Linked DNA regions of Arabidopsis thaliana. The protein of the gene in region 2 purifies or fractionates together with the protein of the main gene of each other region. This does not show direct contact. Each region holds a gene or a part of one and is shown on either strand. Other genes may lie near its edges. The genes, in order: VTC4, AT2G23820 and AT3G02860.

The links.
Region 1: the proteins of AT2G23820 (region 2) and VTC4 fractionate together in Arabidopsis thaliana (co-fractionation; one large-scale study listed by BioGRID). This does not show direct contact.
Region 3: the proteins of AT2G23820 (region 2) and AT3G02860 fractionate together in Arabidopsis thaliana (co-fractionation; one large-scale study listed by BioGRID). This does not show direct contact.

The regions. Positions count from the first base shown.
Region 1 is NC_003074.8:627,012-634,588, forward strand, and holds VTC4 (Inositol monophosphatase family protein), read right to left. Parts: upstream 2,915-7,577; 5' UTR 2,672-2,914; coding exon 2,659-2,671; intron 2,576-2,658; coding exon 2,520-2,575; intron 2,435-2,519; coding exon 2,384-2,434; intron 2,260-2,383; coding exon 2,179-2,259; intron 2,095-2,178; coding exon 1,991-2,094; intron 1,894-1,990; coding exon 1,809-1,893; intron 1,668-1,808; coding exon 1,613-1,667; intron 1,480-1,612; coding exon 1,436-1,479; intron 1,348-1,435; coding exon 1,279-1,347; intron 1,189-1,278; coding exon 1,088-1,188; intron 977-1,087; coding exon 920-976; intron 831-919; coding exon 731-830; 3' UTR 501-730; downstream 1-500. Other genes in the region: AT3G02860 (zinc ion binding protein), read right to left, coding at 58-146; ILR1 (Peptidase M20/M25/M40 family protein), read left to right, coding at 4,982-5,341, 5,436-5,561, 5,810-6,124, 6,217-6,345, 6,450-6,848.
Region 2 is NC_003071.7:10,136,909-10,144,664, forward strand, and holds AT2G23820 (Metal-dependent phosphohydrolase), read left to right. Parts: upstream 1-3,474; 5' UTR 3,475-3,686; coding exon 3,687-3,956; intron 3,957-4,808; coding exon 4,809-4,933; intron 4,934-5,017; coding exon 5,018-5,055; intron 5,056-5,135; coding exon 5,136-5,246; intron 5,247-5,358; coding exon 5,359-5,475; intron 5,476-5,567; coding exon 5,568-5,609; coding exon of another isoform or gene 5,610-5,644; exon of another isoform or gene 5,645-5,693; coding exon 5,694-5,764; 3' UTR 5,765-6,030; downstream 6,031-7,756. Other genes in the region: TET8 (tetraspanin8), read right to left, coding at 1-444; AT2G23830 (PapD-like superfamily protein), read left to right, coding at 6,738-6,789, 6,916-6,986, 7,073-7,154, 7,261-7,376, 7,475-7,603.
Region 3 is NC_003074.8:621,646-629,007, reverse strand, and holds AT3G02860 (zinc ion binding protein), read left to right. Parts: upstream 1-1,640; 5' UTR 1,641-1,850; coding exon 1,851-1,939; intron 1,940-2,074; coding exon 2,075-2,174; intron 2,175-2,373; coding exon 2,374-2,533; intron 2,534-2,726; coding exon 2,727-3,009; intron 3,010-3,203; coding exon 3,204-3,279; intron 3,280-3,373; coding exon 3,374-3,420; intron 3,421-3,522; coding exon 3,523-3,709; 3' UTR 3,710-3,845; downstream 3,846-7,362. Other genes in the region: VTC4 (Inositol monophosphatase family protein), read left to right, coding at 1-6, 104-188, 330-384, 518-561, 650-718, 809-909, 1,021-1,077, 1,167-1,266; SKOR (STELAR K+ outward rectifier), read left to right, coding at 5,535-5,773, 6,356-6,580, 6,664-6,727, 6,795-7,134, 7,214-7,362. UniProt on the Arabidopsis thaliana protein: Essential for breaking seed dormancy before seed germination. Prevents reactive oxygen species (ROS) accumulation in response to abscisic acid (ABA) and oxidative stress, probably by repressing the accumulation of ABA-induced ROS-scavenging enzymes (e.g.

The DNA.
Region 1 (7,577 bases), on a different chromosome or scaffold from region 2:
GTAGAAACCCAGAAGTGACATCGAAACGAAGAGAAGAAGAAGCTAACAACGGTTTACCTAACGAGAGGAGAATCTATGCGGGTGTCTTTCTTCTTGGCGTTGAGTTTAGACCGGAACATGGCCTTCTTCTTCGCTTGAGCATCCATCACTCTCCTTCGTAGCAACCCACGCAACTCCCAAATTATCACAACCTCGCAAGGAATACGAAGATCTGAGAAATTTGTTCTATTCAAATCAAACCCTAAGTCCTTAGAGGAGGACAACAGTCACCGTGAGAATCAAAATTCCTCCCTCCGTTCTTCTCCGCAATCTCTTCTCTTTTACGGGTCGGGTCGATCCAACTCGGGATTAGACTTGAGACTTTCGGGATGCTTCTGGGTCGTTAGTCGTAACTGGGCCGGACTCATTATCCCCATTTTCCTCTGTTGTTAATTTAGTATGGATCACAAAATACCTTAAACTCCACCTTTTATAAAAAAAAAAAAAATGCAAACTCGATTACAAAGATCAACTACATGGAAGAACAGAATTATATCATTCAATACCAAACATATGATTTTTTTTTAATTGAATTCACAAAGGGTAGCAGAAAGAAAATAGTTTTTTTTTTTTCTCAACAATTGAGTTTGTTTTCTTTCTACCGAAAAGAAATATTCAATAATGTTAAGTTTTTGAATTGAGTTTGATCATATAAGGTTGAGACCATATTGTAAAATAATAACAGATGACTTCATGCCCCTGTAAGCCGCAACGCCTCAGCGAATAACTCCTTGAGAGAAGCGTTTGAAGCCGCGATCCTCTGCGATGTTATGTCCAAATCTTTACCGGATCTGATGAACAAAGACGACATAAAACAGTTAGTTATAATCAGTTGGACGGTTTGAGAGTGAGTGTGTTTGGTTTAATCTCAAACTCTTACGGATCAAAGATGAGTCCACCAGCTTCTTTCACGATAACAATTCCTGCTGCAATGTCCCTGTGAAAGATTTGATATTATTATGCCATCATCAGGATCTAATTTTGTTTGTACAAGAAAGAAATCCCCTTTTTTAATCCAAGCAAGGAAAAAAAAAAGAAGACAATTTACCATGGACCACCGAAACCGAGCTCGTAGAAGATATCAACCCTTCCACACGCAACGCCACAGAGGTCCAGTGCACACGAACCACTCATCCTAAGGGACCTGACCTGATGAATGAAGGACACAACAATCATGAGTTTTGGCAGAGACTAGAACCAAATTGGTGGAGTTCCAAATATCTATCGATAAACTTTTACCTTGGTTAGCAAACTGTTGATTCTGTTGGTTGTATCGTCTAATGTAGCTTTATCTCGTTTAGTACCCGCCTATATTCAATTGGTCACATTAGCGATGAGAGGAGGCTTCATAGCAATCTAGTTTTAGTAGTCTAACACAAAGGAGCCAGATTTTTACCTCTGTCACGAGCAAAGCGGTTAAAAGTTCGCTTTGAGCTGACACTGCAAAAAGAACATTGTTTGAGTTGAAAAGAAGGAAGAGAACTCAAGTCTCTGAACAAGTGATAGCTATACTCCGGATGCCATAAAAAGAGATCAAGAAATTTTTTATTAGGTCTCTAGAACAAGTGCTAACCTTTGATTCGCTTTCCATTCAAGAATGCTCCTTTCCCTTGGACACCGGTGAATAGCTGTTTGATCATTAGATATTATGTAAGAATTGAGAAAAATCTTGAAACATGCATGTACAGAGCACCATCAAGGAAACTATGTATAATGGTAAGTTGTAACGATCGAAGAAACTTGAAACAATGGAATACACAATCTTTTACCTCTTCCATAATAGGATTATAAACAACTCCAACAACAGGGACTTTTCCAATCGTAAGTCCAATGGAAACACACACGAAAGGGAACCTACAAAAAAAAAACAGCATTTGTTTTTGTTTTTGATGAAATGGGCAAATGAAACACACAGGTCATTCAAATGGGAATTGATCAATAATGATAATACCCGTGAACGAAATTGGTTGTTCCATCAAGAGGATCAACAATCCAAGTTGGTTCGTCAGTTAGTTCTGTCACACCAAATGCAGCTGTAGTTTCTTCTCCTATGAACTAATAAATTATAGCAAAACTCTAATGATCAACGCGAGGAAGAAGCCAACAAAATGGGAATTCAAAAGAAGAAATAATCACCACCTTGTGATTGGGAAAGAGCTGCTTGAGATGATTAAACACAAGTTCTTCACATCCTTTATCAGTCTCTGTCACCAAATCCACCTAAAAGCAACAATTTAAGGAGCCATAGAAGATAATTTCAAAAAAAAAATTGACACTCTTAAGTAGCCATTCCCACTTATTGAGTGATTGAAACATTATCTGAGCGGAGGAAAGAAACAAAAACCTGGCCTTTGTGTTCAACATGTTTAGTCTCGTAAAACCCTTTACGAATGATCTGCAGAACGCAAACCAAAAGGAGCCAGATTAAATAACGATTAGCCAAAATATCGATCAAAACTCAAGGAGATCGAAAGATAGACCTGTCCAGCTTTTTTAGCGGCATCAATGGCGGCAGCCAAAAACTGATCTAGAGAATCTGCGTCAAATCAATGTCGCCCGAAAGAAAATGAGGAAACAGGGAAATCAAATAAGGTTTGCAGAGATTGATCGTGACTTTACCATTGTCCGCCATTTTCGAGAGAAGACGAAAAGAGTGATGCTTTCTTTACTTTGGGATGTGTTTCAGAGAAAACCAAAAGTTACGGTTTTTGTGGTTAGGCACAGAGCGAATATTCGAGGCATCTAATCTTATACTGTATTATATTAATTACCCAATTAGGCATCCGAAATCACCCAATAATCACGGTCCGATATGGGAAATAAGAGGATTTCAGAAAATCCGTTATACAAAAAGCTAACCAATGATCATTTGAAGATTAGATTTCACCTCAATTTTATCATCCAACTTTCTCTTGACAAAACCCGCATTCTGTAATCAGTTCTCTTTTCCGGGTCGGACAGACCCGAGTCGGGTTTGGACTTGAGACTATTGGACTGGACTCCTTATTCTGAATATGGGCCGGAATTCTTTTTTTTTAGAACAAGTGCATAACACGGAAGGAAAAAGATGTTCTAATTTATTCTGAATATGGGGCCGGAATGATATTGGTGCATACTTGTCTTTCTCTGGCTGGTTCACTTACATTGATGAGAAAAATGCGAAGAACACTTTGAAATCGGTTTGTGATCAAGAGACAAAGGAACAATCGTCTACTGCTTCTGCCGTTGTGTGGACAAGAAAAACTCATTCAACACCAAAATTATGTTGTTTTATTTTTCCGATATTTTACATTTTGTCTTATAAATCTCATGATATAACAGTAGCCCCTTTCTGAGAAGAGATTTGTTTTGCATACTTGTGTAATTTACATTTAAAAAAAACACAGATCAACAGAAGAACAGAACTAAACACTAACACTCTAAACGAGACCACCTCTCCAACACGAGACATCAAACGCCACACATACACAATCTCTGCAACCTAAGAACAGAACTAAACACTAACACTCTACAATCTACTTGTTCATTCTTGAGAAATCAAAAGTCTCTATTCACCTTCTTCTTCTTTCTTCTTCTTCGAGAGAAACGAAAATCAACAATCTTTTTCATCTATTTCTCTTTGGAGAAGAGAAGCAAAGCATAGAAATGTCCATCACTTTATATTATTTGTTGTATTCTCCATTCATAGGCAAAGAGAGAGAGAAAGATGTCTTCATCATAGCTAAGCTTTTGGTTGCCTTAGAGATAGTCTCGACCTTTCTCTCGTTCCAAGACAGCGATGACGCTCTCTGCTGCTCTCGGCGGAAGATACAGCCAGTCCCAACGTACATGGACTTTGAAGTAGGTACTAACATGAACGTAGACAGTGTTGTGGTTAGTATACTTTTGAGGATCGGATCATCAACCTTATCAGTTGATTCTTCAACTTAATTAAACTCATTATATAAAAAACAAAATATTTATGTGACCGTTAAGAACTTAATTGTGAAAGAAGAGGAAATAACAGAGAAAAAAGGGAATTGTAATGTGACCGTTAATTGTGATTAGCAATATCCCTTTTTCTCTCAAATAATAATTGGGGCATTTGCAAATCTTACACTTGACTTCCTTGAAAAGAAAGCCTCTGTTGCGTAATTACAATTTGCATTTTGGTTGTATGTTTGTGATTGTTTCATAGGTCTATTCCACAACTTTTTACCTTTTTTATTTTTTTACTCTCCACAACTTTGTACCTATAACTAAATAATATAAAGTCACAATTTTGTACGGATATTCTGATGTTTCATTAGTCATTTACATTTTTATTGATTATGTTCGCATGTACAGCTACTTTCGTAAACAGCTTCTTTTGTACGAATTGTTCTAGAGAATTTTCGATCATAATCAAAATATAAACAAAATGTTTAACAATGCGCTTCAAATAGGTGGGCCTTTGTTATAAGTAATTTAAAAGTCGAAGAACCCAATGGCCTATATGTCAATCAAATACATGGGCCTATGTTATAAGGAATTAAAAATTTAAGAACCTTAAAGGCCTACATGTGATTCTCACAACTCTAATTCATGCCATGTTTTATTTTAAAAGTGTTAATTTTCATTAACATAAATGGTAAAATCGTGTATTAAACGTACTAATTCATTTCAAGTAAATATTCCTTTTATACCGTAAATATACTACATTGTATCATTTTCATATTTTATCTTTGGTATTTCATTATTTTCTTCACATTACAACCATAAATTATGAATTTCACATTAGAGGCGTATACGTATTTAAAAACGATTAAAAGAGTTTCCAAAAACGTGTGTAAATTACGTACTATATAAATATTAAAAATGGATCGGTGATCCAACTCCTTCTCCTTCATCATCATCGTATTCACCGTTGTCCTTTCTTTCATTGACACTTGCCAGTTTACATCGACAAACAAAAGAAATCAGAATGGATTTCTCAGGGAGCTTCTTTGTCATCTTCGTTACCTTCTTCTTTCTCCCTCCTCTGTCTTCAGCTGGGAGCTACGATTCTGGTTCGGGTCTCGAGTCACTCGCTCGCGGGATGCTTCATTCAGCCAAGGATCCTGAGTTCTTCGAGTGGATGAGAGGAATTAGGAGAAAGATTCATGAGAACCCAGAGACAGGGTTTCAGGAGTTCAAAACGAGTCAACTCGTTCGAGACGAGCTTGACTCGCTTGGAGTGAAGTATAAGTATCCTGTGGCGAAGACTGGCGTCGTCGCTTGGATCGGATCCTGTTCGAAACCTGTTTTCGGACTTAGAGCCGACATGGACGCACTTCCGTTACAGGTTTGAAATCTAATAATCAAAGTTCCGATTTTTACTCTGATTTTTAGATTGCTTTGTTTGACTAATGAATTTGAAAAAATGGGGACAAAAAAAGGAATTAGTGGAATGGGAATCGAAAAGTAAAGTAGATGGAAAGATGCATGCTTGTGGTCATGATACTCATGTTGCTATGCTTCTTGGTGCTGCTAAGCTTCTTCAAACCACAAAACACCTCATCAAGGTCTCTCTTTTTTCTCTTTCACTCAATTTATATGTATAATTTTGAATGATTCTGTCTGTGCCCTGCAATTAAAACTCATTTCGATGTGGGTTAGTGTTTTCTAAGATTCTTAGATATATGTGTGTGTATGTCTTTGATTGCTAATTGTTATGTGTGTGTGTTTTCTAGAGTTGTTAGTGTGTGTGTCTTATGAGAGTTTGGTGAATCTTATGAGGGTTTTGAACGAAAACACAATTTTTTTGCAACAGGGGACAGTAAAACTTGTGTTTCAACCAGGCGAGGAAGGTTATGCAGGTGCTTATGAAATGCTAAAAGACGAGATTCTAGACGACTTAGATGGGATACTCAGTGTTCATGTCTTTCCATCGATCCCATCAGGTGGTATTGGTTCTAGGCCTGGGACCGTTCTTGCAGGTGCAGGATTGTTTACAGTCACGGTTCACGGTCAAGGTAGCCACGCAGCTACACCGCACTTCTCTAAAGACCCGGTTCTTGCAGCTTCTTCCGCTGTTGTTGCCTTGCAACAGATTGTTTCGCGGGAACTGGATCCACTCGAAGCTGGTGTAAGTTTGCTTTCCACTTTCAAAGCATTGGTGTTTGATGAATCAGAATCTTGGCTGAAATCAGCGGAGATTGGTTTTTTTATGTTTCTCAGGTGGTTACAGTTGGATATATTGAAGGAGGTCATGCTCAAAACGTAATACCGCAGAGTGCGAAATTTGGAGGTACTTTCAGAAGCTTAAGCAACGATGGGCTTCTATTTATCCAAAGACGGATCAAAGAGGTAAAGAGATTGTTTTTTACACCATTTTTCTATACAATCTTGTTCTACTATTCGAATAATGTAGGTCCCTAACCCTGTTTAAATGTTTCTTGATGATGATGCAGATTTCAGAGGCACAAGCATCGGTATACCGATGCAAAGCAGAAGTAAACTTCGAAGAGAAAAAGCCGTCGCTTCACCCGGTAATGAATAACGACGAGGGCTTATACGAGCACGGTAAAAAAGTAGCGGAAGCGATGATTGGAAAGAATAACTTCCATGATTTCCCGGTGACAATGGGAGGAGAGGATTTCAGCTTCTTCACTCAAAAGACTAAGGCTGCGATTTTCGTGCTGGGGGTAAAGAATGAGACGCTAGGCGCTGGTAAGCCGCTTCACTCGCCTTACTTCTTTGTTGATGAAGAAGCTCTTCCTGTTGGGGCTGCTCTTCACGCAGCTATGGCCGTTTCTTATTTGGACGAACATGGTCATAGCCATGAAGAAGAGGTTAAGAGTGAATTATAGAAGGTGTTGGGAGAAAATCAGCTTATATTAGTCATCATCTATTTGTATTTGAACTTGAAAGTTAGGTGAGGTTAGGTTTCGGGTTGGGAAGAATGTTTGTTAATAGTCACGAGAAACCAACCACTTCTATTAAAATAAATTTGATGTAAGAGTTTTAAAAATTGAACAATTGAAATCTTCAAAATGAATACCACTTCTTAAGTTCTCTGTTGACCATTTCTATTACCTTCCTTTCAAATTGATACAACAAATACATAAAAAAAAAAAAAAAATGTCTATGGTACAAACTTATATCAGAAATAAAAACGGTGTCGGAGAGGCTAATCTTTGTTTGTCAACGGTAGCTCAGACACATTTGACAGACCTGGCATGTCTTTGGTCACACTCAACCTGCAAAAAAAAAAAACATAAAAGAAACAAAACGATAACGACCATTAATTTTTTAATTAGACCTAATTTATTGATCTAATACAAAAGAAAGGAAAAACAGAGGTCGTTTAAACGTCTACAAAAAACATTACTGCAGTGATTTATTGTCATTTATGTAACGCAAATATAGTTGACTCTGATAAAATTGTTACAACTAGTATTCATAAGTCATAACCTTATAATTAATTAATTATCTTTCTGTAAATTAGCTGTCAAATTAAATACATAAGATTCTCTTTTAACTTTTTTGTCAAAAAGGAAATATTCCAATTAGTAACTTTTCTTTTTTTCCTTTTTCTC
Region 2 (7,756 bases):
AAGCTTAGAACAAACTTTGCTCTCCACAAGACAACTCCTAATCTTATTCCAATTTTTACCATTCTCAACACGTTTCTGTAACCAAGTAGAGTAATCACCAAGTTTATACTCTTTATAACCTTTTCCTTCAATAGCTTCACCAGCTCCTTTGTTAGTAACAACAAAGGCAAAAACTGTTATACAGAACACAAGGAGAATCAAAAGGAACATGACAAAGAGATAAACCCAAAGAAGCCATGTGACTCTACAACATGAACCTATTAGACCAGCTATTGCTACAACCATAAGGAAAACACCAAGAGCAATCACTGGTTTGTCTAGGAATCTTTCACACTCTGTTGACCCTTTTTGGCTTAGCCAGATTCCACCAGCTAAGATTGGGATCGAGAGAAGAAATACTAGGAAATTGAGTATCCCTACGAGATTGTTGCTACAACGAGCCATGGTTTAGATTCAGAGAGAAAGATTGAAACTTTGAGGAACCCTTTAGATGAATTGAGAGAAAGATTGAGAATTTGAAGAACACTGAAACAGAATTTGAGTGGGATTTTGATGGGTTGATGAAACAAGTTTATATAGAGAAGACTGAAACGCGTGAAAGTGAGGAAATTTGGAGAAGGCTATTGCAGAGAAGTTTCGTTTGTTTTGGTTCTAAATTTCTAATTGTCTTTAGGAAGTAGTTGAGACTTGAAGACTTGGTTCATTTAGGAGAATGACTTTTTAACTTCCACGCGCTTTTACGCGAGTGGTGGATATTTTTGGATAATGACTTGTACTTATTTAATTATACTTTTTATTTAGTTTTTTTCTCTTGTGTATATTTTCTTCTATATTTGATCTTATCTTATCATGATTATTAAATAAATATTCATTATCTATAGATTGAATATAACTTGCAATGAAATAATTTCATAAAAAAAAGTAAGACTGACTAATTTTCTCATAATATATAGTTTATGACCATAACTGGTTTTTAGACTAAGTTAAGTAATTATGAGTTTGCAGCTAATTATATAAAATTTAATTTCAGTATAACTAAATAATTAATAAGAAAAAAAATTATAGCAATGTCTTAACAAATAAAAGAAGTTTTGTTTACCACATTTTTATTTTGAAATTTCTTAACTTTTGTAATTTTTATAAATCATTAAAAAAACTTTTATTTTCTTTCCTCAGTTGTGACCTTCTAAAAAATTAAAGACAGATTCTGTTTATGGTTATAAACTTACGATATATAATTTTATTTGTAAATTGTAATACACAACAAACAATCTTATTTGCAATATGCTGAAATTATGATTATTTTTTTGTATCTACAGTTTTTTTAGTTAAACAATTGTTTGAAAAGCATACCTTAGCCTAATATAAAACCATTAAACCTTTGAAAGATCAAATGGCTTTCACTTTCATATGAATATCTTATTTCTACTATGTCAAATAATTGAGTATTTCTTTTTCCTTTTGTTTTTACTTGCGTGAGCAAAATGTAAAGGCTTCCAAAGTCCAATTTGTTTTTGTTTACTCGTAATATTTGTCAACGTTTCTACTCGTATTTTATTTAATGAAATTCAAGTGACTAATATATACATATGCCACTGGAAAATTTGCAATTTGTTTTTATGCTTTTGGAGGCTGCGTTGATACCTAACCTACTTATTATAGAAAATAGACAATGGGAAGAATCAAATGACATGATCTTTTATTTAAAAACATATGTAGATCGTTTGAATCAGGCTGCATGCATTGCTACCTAAGTACCTAACCTACTTGCGTTGTTATTGTTGTTGTGTACTTGTGTTGTTTTTTATTTTTCTTGTTGGATTCCTTTGAAGCACTATTTTAAATTTGTAATATACATTATTATTGGATAACGATTTTTGGTATTTAAAACAATCTATCATAGATTTAAGTGAACTAGATTGTTTTAAATACCAAAAATCGTTATCCAATAATAATGCATATTAATTAGATTGTTTTATGATAATTTCTCAAATAATTTTTTATATTAATAAGATTTGAAATTTTGACAAAAAAATAAATAGATTTGAATAACTTGATTAAATTAAAAATGATAAATAGAAGATAATATTGTAAATATTAACATATGTAAATTAGGAGAATGGATTTAATACATTAAGTGTTACCTAAAAATTTAATCCATTCTCCTAATTTACATATGAAATATTTATATTCTTAGCATAAAAAAAAAGTCCGACTATATTTCAATTTAGATCATTGTTTGAGAAAAATTTCACTTTTTAGGTAAATGACCAATCACGTTACAACATATCAGTATCAAATCCACATAAGACATCCATGTGACACATTGCATATGCAAAGAGAAAACGAGACACCAAAATTTTGTACAAACAATAATCAGTCAATCCGAGGCTACTATATTAAAAAATTCAAAAAAAAAATTGTGATTTAATGATATTTTGAAAGTTTAAGTTTTTTCGTCCTAAATTTGAAAACTGACACATTTTTGATATTTTTACCTTTGATACATCCGTAGAAAAAATATTTACCTACTAAATATTTTCTTATATGTAGCTTATAAGTATAATTATGTGAATAACACTAACTAAAATAGATATTAGTTTATTTAAGTTTGAAAAAAATGTGACGGTTAGCTTCTCATAGCTTGAGTTTTGTGGAAACTTTACTTTATTATATTAAATATCATCATATCACATAATATGATAGTAACAAACTAATTAGTAATGTACCATCAACTTTTCTAGTAGTAAGTACTACTTTGAGGAATCTTGCACTCTGATGATATCAGGAATATGATCATAAACTTCAGAGCATCAACTCCTAGAAGAAACCGAGTGAGGTGGTCCAAATCAACAAACCTGAACACACAAGAACCTTGAATAAGACTTTCCAAATAAAAGTAGAAAAAAAAAACAGAGAATTAGAAATTCAAAAACCATACTCTTATTTTCTGGGACAAGGGTTTTTTTATACCCGAACAATTTACAAAGTGTATTTTCATACCAAAACAAATTTGAAGGATGAATTCATACCCAAACTCCAAAAACATTTGAATTTTATAGCTAAACTTTACATTTAGTGCTTAATTCAAAATCGTAAATAACGAGTATTAGTCAACTGTTACAGTTGCTGAGTCAAATGACATGTATTTGATGTTATACTTCAAAACGACATCGTGTTAAATGTTAGAATTAAAGTTATACAAAATTTTGTAAAAATCAGATATTGAAGCCACGACGTTTCACTCATTTAGGCAGCTTATTAACATTTGATCGACAACTATCATGAGTTCGAGACCTAATTTTTTTGTACAACTCTATAAAATTTTAATTCTAACACTTAAAACGATGTTGTTATAAACTCTTGACCAAACCTAGATATGAAAATACGTTTTTCCCCTGATTTGATGTTAGCCCCACGAAACTCATGACCCGAACCTAGATAGTTTGCTTGTCTTCAAGCAAACGCTGTCCAGATCAACCAAGTGAAGGGACTTATTTTCTTTTTTCCAATGATTCGGAATTCAAGACCCACTACACTATTGGGTCTTCATATAATAAAAGGCCCAATAAAAGTCTCCAGAGGAAACAAAACTAATCGAAACGACGAAACAGTTAAGGTAACAAAGTAAACAAACACGATTCCCAAAACACGAAGAAAGATAAAGCAAAGAAAAAAAAAGAAAGATGAAGAATGTGAATCGAGTCTTCTTCTGCAAATCACTATCTCTCGTCTTCCTCGTTCCTTCTTTCACTCGTTCTCATATCCGATTTACTTACTCCGCCGCCGGTGCTTCTTCTCCTAATCGAGCTATTCACTGCATGGCTTCCGATTCCCCTCAATCCGGAGATGGTTCCGTCTCTTCTCCTCCTAATGTCGCGGCTGTTCCCTCTTCTTCTTCTTCTTCGTCCGCTTCTTCCGCCATTGATTTCCTCTCTCTCTGTACTCGTCTCAAGGTAAGCTTTGATTGATCCGCCTTACATTTTCGCTAAGATCCGGTGGTTTTGTGTGATTATACAACGCAATGTTGGTTAGATGATGCGATTGTTCTTGTTGATGGATTGTGTGGAAATCTGATTTCGTTAGGGAAATGAAACGATTTCAAGCTATGTAGTTACTTTTGATGTTCTTGTTGATGGATTGTATTGGAATCTGTAAATTCGTTTGTGCAATGAAACGATTTCAAGCTTTGTTGTTACTGTGTAGATGTGAAGTTTTTATGTGAATCTGGTTAGTTTTCGCGGTGGTTTCTGTCAATGAACTATTTCTACTCGTAACTTTTGTCTATGGAACCTAGAATTTGATACAGATGTTGGTTTGAAACCTCTAACGCATTGTTTAGATTTATGTGGATGTTTTTTACCAATGTAAGATTGGATCTGTGTTAAGAATGGAGATTATTCTGGTGATGGATTGTAGAAACTCAATGCATTGTAACTGTTTATATAAGATCATTTGTTTTTTAGATTTGTGTGGATGTTTGTTATCAATGTTATGATGGATCTGTGTGGAGATAGCTTGAAACGTTTCGTGCTTAATGGATTGTATTGGAATGTATAGTGGATTGTTACGGAAATGAAACATTGTCAAGCTTGGCTGCATCTGTTGACGGATTGTAGAATTCGTTTAGGGGAATGAAATGATTTCAAGTTTATGTGATTAATGGTCTGTGATTACTAAATCCTTGAAGATGTGAAGTTTGTCATGTGTTTTACTTTTTTGTGAATCAAGTGAGTTTTTGTTTGCTGATTTAACGATAGAGTTTGTGTGCTGTATCGTTTGGTAAACCATCTTTTTATATCAAATAGACAACTCCAAGAGCTGGATGGATTAAGAGAGATGTGAAAGATCCAGAATCTATAGCGGATCACATGTATCGGATGGGTCTTATGGCTCTAATTTCTTCAGATATCCCCGGTGTTAACAGAGACAAGTAAGTTTCTTGCTTGCTTCTCTCTTTTCAAGTTTCAACTGCTGTGAAAAAACTCTTCTTATATACATACTTTTCTTTCTATAGATGCATGAAAATGGCGATTGTTCATGATATTGCAGAAGGTTAGTTCTTTCACTTTTAGAGATTTTTAATCATCGATTTTCTTAATCACGAGTTATTTAGTCGAGTTGTTGTTGAGCAGCCATTGTAGGAGACATTACACCTTCTTGTGGGATATCTAAAGAAGAGAAAAACCGAAGAGAAAGCGAAGCACTTGAGCACATGTGCAAACTCTTGGGTGGAGGCGAAAGAGGTCTGTTTCTCTTCTATTGTTGAAATACCTTATGTATCTTCGTTCGACCTTCTTATGCTCATTTGTATAACACTTATCATCACTTCTAAAAATGTATATATCGTAATTGCAGCAAAAGAAATCGCTGAGCTTTGGAGAGAATACGAAGAGAACTCTTCACCTGAAGCCAAAGTTGTTAAAGATTTCGATAAAGTTGAGCTGATACTACAAGCTTTGGAATATGAACAAGGTAATGAATGACCAATAAAAGAAACTCTCTTTCGATAAGAGATTTAGCAGAAACTAATACTCATATTGTTTTTTGTTTGCTATTTAACGCAGATCAAGGGAAAGATCTAGAAGAGTTTTTCCAATCAACAGCAGGTAATTTTTGTTGTATGTCATTATACTCTAAATAGATAATCTGAATATGGTTGAAGGCTTTAAGCTTGTTACTGTTTGATTCAGGGAAGTTCCAGACTAATATAGGCAAGGCTTGGGCGTCGGAGATTGTTTCAAGAAGACGAAAGCAACATTAGTTCTCACTTGACTCTTTCTTTTTGTTTCTTAACGTCTAGCTCAGTGGAGTTCAAATACTCGTACGTTTCAAATTTAATCATCTTAAGGTTTTTCTAATAATCTTCGTAGCTGTCTTTACTTGTTTTGTTACTATCACTAATAAAAGATAGCTAGCTAGTGACTATCTTATAGATAGCTAATGAAGATCAAAAAACTTAATCAAGCTCTTAAATTTTATTTTAAGAAAGTATCATTGGTTCCTCAATATAAATTTTCGGATCGTTAATAGAGGTCAAATGATTTTTCTTTGTTTTGTTTTGTTTCAAGATTTTGCACGGGTTAAAAGTTGAATAAGAATAACGAATAGAGTATAGACACTTCATAAAGTGTAGTTTCCCTGCCACACTTAGATCTCCTACTAACCTCACTTAGATTAGATTTCTCTCTAGTCTAAAAGTCTTTAAACCTTTTACCATTGGGTTTCACAAAATTAACATTAGTAGTTATGTCTTTTCTTTTTAAAAACATATTTTAGAATAAACCATATCTCCAACCGAAAACTCCAAACTCTCTCCGACGCTTATCCGCATAGTTCTTTTGTCGATTTTGAGCTTCTTTTATCTTAACCTTTAAGATTTTGATTTTTTCCGATGTTCATGTTATTAACCACAAGTCTACAATTAAATTATTATATTTTTTTAAAAATGATTCTTGCGCGAGAAGCTACTTAGTGGACTCGGAAGGAGAAGGGAAATTGGTAGAGGTTTTAATTTGCAAAACTTATAATAATATAATAGTAGTAGTCGTAACAAATGGTTTAGCTGATTATTCAACATGGAACTTTTCAAAGAATGTTTCAGTTTTAGTTGAACAGACAATTTTTACCCTTGTCGTAACAAGACAAATAACGATTTTTCCGACTCTCTTCATTCGATCTCTCTCCCTCTCCCTCTCTCGATCGGAAAAGTTTGAATCTCCGGCGATCTTCTCAAGATGAGTAACAACGAGCTTCTCGAAATCGAGCCTATGTATCTTCAATTCCCTTGTAAGTTTTTTTTTTGACTTTTTCTTGTTTTCCCTGATTTTGCATGTCTTTCTTGTCCATAACCAGATTTTGTTGAGTTATGGTTTACTATTAAATTTCGCTATTCACTTGGCTGAGTTGATGTAGTTGAATTGAAGAAGCAGATGTCTTGCTCTCTTTACTTGACGAACAAGACAGACAATAACGTGGCCTTTAAGGTAAAACAAAGTTTTCCGAGTCATTAAATTGTCGTGATTATCTCGTGTTTCTAAGGTTTCTCGTGATTCTCTTTATTTTATTTGAGGTTAAGACGACAAATCGGAACAACTATTGCGTTAGGCCTAATTATGGACTTATTCTTCCAAAGTCGACTTGTAAAGTTCTTGGTCCGTTCTCTAATCGTTTTCTTGGGGAAACTTTTTTTCCCCCTTCAACTGCCAAACTTGTTCTTGGACTAGGAATTTGATGAATCTTTATTTGTTGTTTGTCTAGTGACCATGCAAGCTCAAAAGGAAGTTCCTTCTGATATGCAGAGCTTTGAAAAGTTTATGATTCAAAGTGTACTGGCTAGTCCTGGAGTCACAGCCAAAGAAGTTACTCGTGAGATGGTACTGATTCACATTGTTGATTTGATGAATAATTCACACTTTGGCTTTTGGTTCCTTAAAGCATTTGTTTCGTTTTTTTCTGATGAGCAACTTTGCAGTTTAGCAAAGAATCAGGGCATGTAGTTGAGGAGACTAAACTGAGAGTTACTTATGTTTGCTCCACCACGACCAACATCACTAGTTCACCAAGGACTAGAAGAGGGTTTATATTTCAGTGTTTTTGTTAGACATTTTCTCTTTACTTCATTGACGATATTCATCACCAGTAACACTCTTAGCGATGTCTCTTGCTATGGCGTTTGGAGCTGCTTGCCACGAGCTCGTAATAGCGGCTGGTAAAACTCGATTGATTCTGTACAGTAATTTGTTTGTAAAATAAT
Region 3 (7,362 bases), on a different chromosome or scaffold from region 2:
TCACGGGTATTATCATTATTGATCAATTCCCATTTGAATGACCTGTGTGTTTCATTTGCCCATTTCATCAAAAACAAAAACAAATGCTGTTTTTTTTTTGTAGGTTCCCTTTCGTGTGTGTTTCCATTGGACTTACGATTGGAAAAGTCCCTGTTGTTGGAGTTGTTTATAATCCTATTATGGAAGAGGTAAAAGATTGTGTATTCCATTGTTTCAAGTTTCTTCGATCGTTACAACTTACCATTATACATAGTTTCCTTGATGGTGCTCTGTACATGCATGTTTCAAGATTTTTCTCAATTCTTACATAATATCTAATGATCAAACAGCTATTCACCGGTGTCCAAGGGAAAGGAGCATTCTTGAATGGAAAGCGAATCAAAGGTTAGCACTTGTTCTAGAGACCTAATAAAAAATTTCTTGATCTCTTTTTATGGCATCCGGAGTATAGCTATCACTTGTTCAGAGACTTGAGTTCTCTTCCTTCTTTTCAACTCAAACAATGTTCTTTTTGCAGTGTCAGCTCAAAGCGAACTTTTAACCGCTTTGCTCGTGACAGAGGTAAAAATCTGGCTCCTTTGTGTTAGACTACTAAAACTAGATTGCTATGAAGCCTCCTCTCATCGCTAATGTGACCAATTGAATATAGGCGGGTACTAAACGAGATAAAGCTACATTAGACGATACAACCAACAGAATCAACAGTTTGCTAACCAAGGTAAAAGTTTATCGATAGATATTTGGAACTCCACCAATTTGGTTCTAGTCTCTGCCAAAACTCATGATTGTTGTGTCCTTCATTCATCAGGTCAGGTCCCTTAGGATGAGTGGTTCGTGTGCACTGGACCTCTGTGGCGTTGCGTGTGGAAGGGTTGATATCTTCTACGAGCTCGGTTTCGGTGGTCCATGGTAAATTGTCTTCTTTTTTTTTTCCTTGCTTGGATTAAAAAAGGGGATTTCTTTCTTGTACAAACAAAATTAGATCCTGATGATGGCATAATAATATCAAATCTTTCACAGGGACATTGCAGCAGGAATTGTTATCGTGAAAGAAGCTGGTGGACTCATCTTTGATCCGTAAGAGTTTGAGATTAAACCAAACACACTCACTCTCAAACCGTCCAACTGATTATAACTAACTGTTTTATGTCGTCTTTGTTCATCAGATCCGGTAAAGATTTGGACATAACATCGCAGAGGATCGCGGCTTCAAACGCTTCTCTCAAGGAGTTATTCGCTGAGGCGTTGCGGCTTACAGGGGCATGAAGTCATCTGTTATTATTTTACAATATGGTCTCAACCTTATATGATCAAACTCAATTCAAAAACTTAACATTATTGAATATTTCTTTTCGGTAGAAAGAAAACAAACTCAATTGTTGAGAAAAAAAAAAAACTATTTTCTTTCTGCTACCCTTTGTGAATTCAATTAAAAAAAAATCATATGTTTGGTATTGAATGATATAATTCTGTTCTTCCATGTAGTTGATCTTTGTAATCGAGTTTGCATTTTTTTTTTTTTTATAAAAGGTGGAGTTTAAGGTATTTTGTGATCCATACTAAATTAACAACAGAGGAAAATGGGGATAATGAGTCCGGCCCAGTTACGACTAACGACCCAGAAGCATCCCGAAAGTCTCAAGTCTAATCCCGAGTTGGATCGACCCGACCCGTAAAAGAGAAGAGATTGCGGAGAAGAACGGAGGGAGGAATTTTGATTCTCACGGTGACTGTTGTCCTCCTCTAAGGACTTAGGGTTTGATTTGAATAGAACAAATTTCTCAGATCTTCGTATTCCTTGCGAGGTTGTGATAATTTGGGAGTTGCGTGGGTTGCTACGAAGGAGAGTGATGGATGCTCAAGCGAAGAAGAAGGCCATGTTCCGGTCTAAACTCAACGCCAAGAAGAAAGACACCCGCATAGATTCTCCTCTCGTTAGGTAAACCGTTGTTAGCTTCTTCTTCTCTTCGTTTCGATGTCACTTCTGGGTTTCTACAATTCCAAATATTTGTGGGTTCTGGGGATTGGGCTTGAGCTGTAGTTGGGATGAAGAGTTTGTTCTTTGGATTTGTAGGTACAACGAATCAGACCAGCCTGTGTGTCGAGTTTGCAATGTCGTCTTGAAATCTGAATCACTCTGGGATGTACATCAAGCTTCTCGTAAGCACCACGAGGTAAACTTAGTGTCTTCTGCTCCATAAGCTTTACTTCACAATCTCTTATAACCTGAGTAACAACAATGGGATATTTGATAAATTACATACATTGAAGATAGGTAGATTTCATGCTCTTATATGATTTTATGCGTTAGATTCTCTGTTTTATGTTCTTTAATCTTATTAACTTAGCTTTCGTAATGTAACGTTTGGACAGGCCATTGATAGTCTCAAGGCTAGTGCAGCGGGAGTCCAACGGGGTAGCAAACCTGCTGAAACTCGGCCAACGAAAATTGAAGCTTTGGCTAAATCATCCAATTCTCAGACATCATCTGGTCTTCCGCCAAATTTCTTCGAAAATCGTGAGCCTGCTAGAGGTAATGACTAATGCACTTTCCTCTTCTTGTTCTTATCTTTTTCGAATAATTTTCTTAGTAGAAGGCTTTTGGTTTAGGTGCTAGTTATGTGGATGCCATGCTTAAAGGCTCTAGTCTTAGGTTTTTTGAAAGATTGATGATAGTTTCATTCGTCAATCGAAAAAAAAAACTTATTGATCAAATATATGTGCAGCAGAAGTAGAACCAGCAAAATCCAAGAATTTAGAGCAATCAAAGCACACTATAGGATCTGAAACAAATAAGTCAAAGGGACCTCTTCCAGCCGGATTCTTTGATAATCAGAAAACTGATTCTTCAAATACCAAAACCACCAGTGAACCTAAACAGAGTCAGACACAGACCACTGGTCCAGAAACAAAACCAATGGTGAATGGAAACCTTCCAACCGGTTTTTTTGATAATAAAGAAGCTGACCTGCTTGCCCATGGAATCAAGCTCGTCAAACCAGATATCAAGTGAGTTTCTTCTCTTTTTTTTTTTGTTGCTTTTACTTTTCCAGATGCAGAAAATCAAAGTGAAACCTCATTGTTGTGGACCTTGTGATCCAGTTACTTTCCTACATTCTCAATTTGAATGGTTCATATGATCTTATGGGTTTGTACCTAAGAATTCTCTTCGTGAACTTATATAAACATGGATCTTCTTACAGGGATGAATATAAAGAATTTGAGAAGTTGATACAAGATGATTTGCAGGTAGTGGATAGCCGCATGGAAGAAGAAGAGGTCAGATAACTTTCTGTCACTATGATAAATTGCTGACAGTATCATAAGCTCTTTCTTAAACTTAAAATCGCTTTTCTCGCACTCTAATTGTCAGGTTGATGCTGCGGAAACTATAGAAGAGGAGGAACAACGAGAGCAAAGGTAATTTGATTCATTACTTTGTTATAGCAAGAAGATGGAAATGTTGAGACTTGTTTAAGATTAAGTAAACACTTGGCTTCTCCTTTTAATCTTATTCTGCAGATCATACAAAGAGAAAGTAGAGATTCTGAAGAGGAAGAAAATGGAACTTAAAGCGGCAAGATTAGCGAAGCGCAGTAAAACCTCTGAGGGGTCTGTTAAAAAGCCGAAGAAGACAGAAGAAGAATCGCCCAGCGATGAGGAGGATGACGAGGATTCTGCTGTTGATTGGAGAGCTCAACATCTTTGAATAAACTAGAAAAGACTGTTTAAAAATCTGTACCCTGGTAAAACATACAATGTTCTATGAGAATATACAGTGAAAACTAATCAATCTCATATATATACAATTATCAGTTTCAGAGGATCAATTGGTATTTGAGGTATAGTTATCGGTTAATGGGTATAATTCAAGAACGTAATTTTCATAACCAGAGTTGCCAAAAAGGCCGAAATATCTGGGGATGAAACCTGAAACTGTGGCAGTTCCGACCAGTTTCAGGTGATAAACTAAAAAAAAAAAAGTGATTATGACTGGTGGTCGTATCATTCTAGTTTTGAGTGAGAATGTTTCAGATATTGATCATTTGGTGGCACAAAACATAATGACGAAAGTGGTAAATTTAACAATCATCTTTAAAGTTAAAACTCTTATTATTGTTAAACAAATACATGTGGAATAATAAATAATTGAGACAATTCCAGAAACCAATTAGGGGTCAAATATGTCGAGAAACTAATTAGGGGTCAAGTATTGAAGAAGGAAGAAGACCACTAACTAAACATATTCATATTTTTTTGTGAATTTTTGGACTATTTGTGATTACCAACCATATGCTTATATAACTTATAAAAAAAATGCATTAGGCTTTCCACTATAAACCATTGACATTTGAAATATTTAAATCAAGATATATGCATAACCAAAAAAAAAAGGGTTATGTTATCTTGTTTATAACTTGAAAAGGAGTCCACAAAACAAAGAGAGAGAGAACAGCCAAAGCAAAGGTCGGTTAATGCACAATCGATGATATAACAAATATCCCATTAGAACATAAAATTAGTTAACTAATTACTTCTGACCTAACTGAATGCACTCAATCTCCTATAATACCTTAACATTATCTAGCTTGACTAATCATATAAATTGTCACGTGAATTTTCTAATGGTAAAGTGTTTCACAACGGGAATCAAAGTTTAGGGACATTTCAGTTTAGAGTCTATCCATCATAACACTTGTATCCCAACTTGGTTTTTCCAAATTTGTTTTAGATAAAATACCATTTTTCGAATTCATCGTCTTCATGTGAATTTTAGGAAAAAAAGAGTGACAAAACACACACACGCACACACACATCGGCTTCGACCTACATAACCAAACGATATCTTGTAAAATACCACACACAATCACAAGTGTTTAATCTTATGATCTCTAATCTCTTATGCATGTTTAAACGTGATAAAGGAGAAATCGTTTAGCATTAGAAAGAAAGAAACATTTACGAATAAAATGATCGAAAAAGTGACTTCCTCGAACTTTATCACATCACGATACCTTATCACATGTACGTAACACGTAATGACTTATTGTTTATCTTGTGGTTATAAAAGACTCTCTTATCATTTATATGGTGCTCTTCATAGGTCATTCTAAAAATAAACCCATATCTCACTGGTTCACCTTATTTTTTAAAACATATTATTATTCTTTTACACTACGTTATCTTTTATTATGACCATAAAAATATTAATATAGCATGGGCTTTTTGAATCACAATTTGAACTTTTAATGTAAAAAATAAACAACAGCACTAACAAAAAAAAACCGAAAATTTGTGTATAAATTTCGCCGATTCCATGGTGTTGTTCATCGAATTAACTTGAGTTGCTATTTTTTTCTCTATCTGATAAGTTTCGAAATTTGAAAACACAGGCGCCAATTTTAGGCATATAACTGAAAATCACAAAAAGGAAATAAGAGAGAAAGAGAGAGAAAGAGAAAGAGAGAGAAAAACAGAGAGGTTGTCTTCTTCGTCAAATATCCGATTATCTGGTATCGTGATTCGGAGGTGTAATGGGAGGTAGTAGCGGCGGCGGAGTTTCTTATCGTAGCGGCGGCGAATCAGACGTGGAATTAGAGGATTACGAGGTTGATGATTTCAGAGATGGGATTGTAGAATCGCGAGGAAACAGATTCAATCCTCTCACCAATTTCTTAGGGTTAGACTTCGCCGGCGGTAGCGGTGGAAAGTTCACCGTCATTAATGGAATCAGAGATATCTCCAGAGGCTCCATTGTTCATCCCGATAACCGGTACACCATAAATTCTCGTCACGCTTTTGAATTTTGTTTTCTGAGTCCTTTAACTTTTAATAGTTTCATAAGTAGGCCTTATGTTTTATTTTGTATTATTCTAGTCCACTTACTTTGTTATATGGATTTTAGGGTAGGTATTGATTAATTTCTTTTTTTCTTTATACTGAGACTAAATCTTATAGAAATCAATCTTCCTATATATTTTGAAGCTACGTACTACTTTTATTAGAGAAATTTTGAAGGAAATTTGTTAGCTTAACAACTTTCGGGGTCAATTGTAGTGCAAACAAAAACATTAGGGGCTTGATTGTGGATTTAACCTTCCTTTTTAGTGTAATAACATTTTCTTCGGTTATTCATTCATTTCCCGCCACTTTATGACACGTATCAGTTTCTCAATGGTTACAAATGATCGTTGGTTAAAAATGTAACAACCATGAGTCTGTACACGTCAGACCAGATTAAAGAAGAAAACTCTGTTTCGCTGAAGTTTGGAGCAATAATAGAAGTAGACTAAGTAGTGAGTTTAGTTTAGCTACTAAATACTCTGTCCGGATCTAAAGATTCTTGAATTTGCAGGTGGTACAAGGCGTGGACGATGTTTATATTGATATGGGCACTTTATTCTTCCTTCTTCACTCCATTGGAATTCGGATTCTTCAGGGGATTACCAGAGAATCTGTTCATCCTCGATATCGCTGGCCAAATCGCTTTCTTAGTAGATATTGTCTTGACATTCTTCGTTGCTTATCGTGATAGCCGAACTTATAGAATGATCTATAAACGCAGCTCAATTGCTTTACGGTATTCAAACTCTACTCTGTTTCTGTTTTCTTGCTATCTACTCAATGAGATTAACCTCTTCATGGTGTTTGTCAATTTTGTAGGTACTTAAAATCAACTTTTATAATTGACTTACTTGCTTGCATGCCATGGGATATCATCTACAAGGTATACACTTTTTACTCTTTTGATTTTGCGGGAAACGGAGAATTTGAAACTGTGAATTTGAAAACAGGCTGCAGGCGAAAAAGAAGAAGTGAGATACCTATTGTTGATAAGGCTATATCGAGTTCATAGAGTAATCCTGTTTTTCCACAAAATGGAGAAAGATATAAGAATCAATTACCTTTTTACAAGAATCGTCAAGCTTATATTCGTCGAGCTTTATTGCACTCACACCGCAGCTTGTATCTTCTATTACTTGGCCACGACGCTTCCTGCTTCTCAAGAAGGGTACACTTGGATTGGAAGCTTGAAGTTAGGAGATTACAGTTACTCGAAGTTTAGAGAGATCGATCTCTGGACTCGATACACTACTTCTATGTACTTTGCAGTTGTTACTATGGCAACTGTTGGTAAGTTCTGATAACTGAAAACTTGGTGAATATATCGTTTGCTTTCATTCCTTAACTTGGTATGTTTCTTATAATGCAGGTTATGGAGATATACACGCGGTTAATATGCGGGAAATGATATTCGCGATGGTCTACATTTCATTCGATATGATTCTAGGAGCTTACTTGATTGGTAACATGACAGCTTTGATTGTAAAAGGTTCGAAAACAGAGAGATTCCGGGATAAG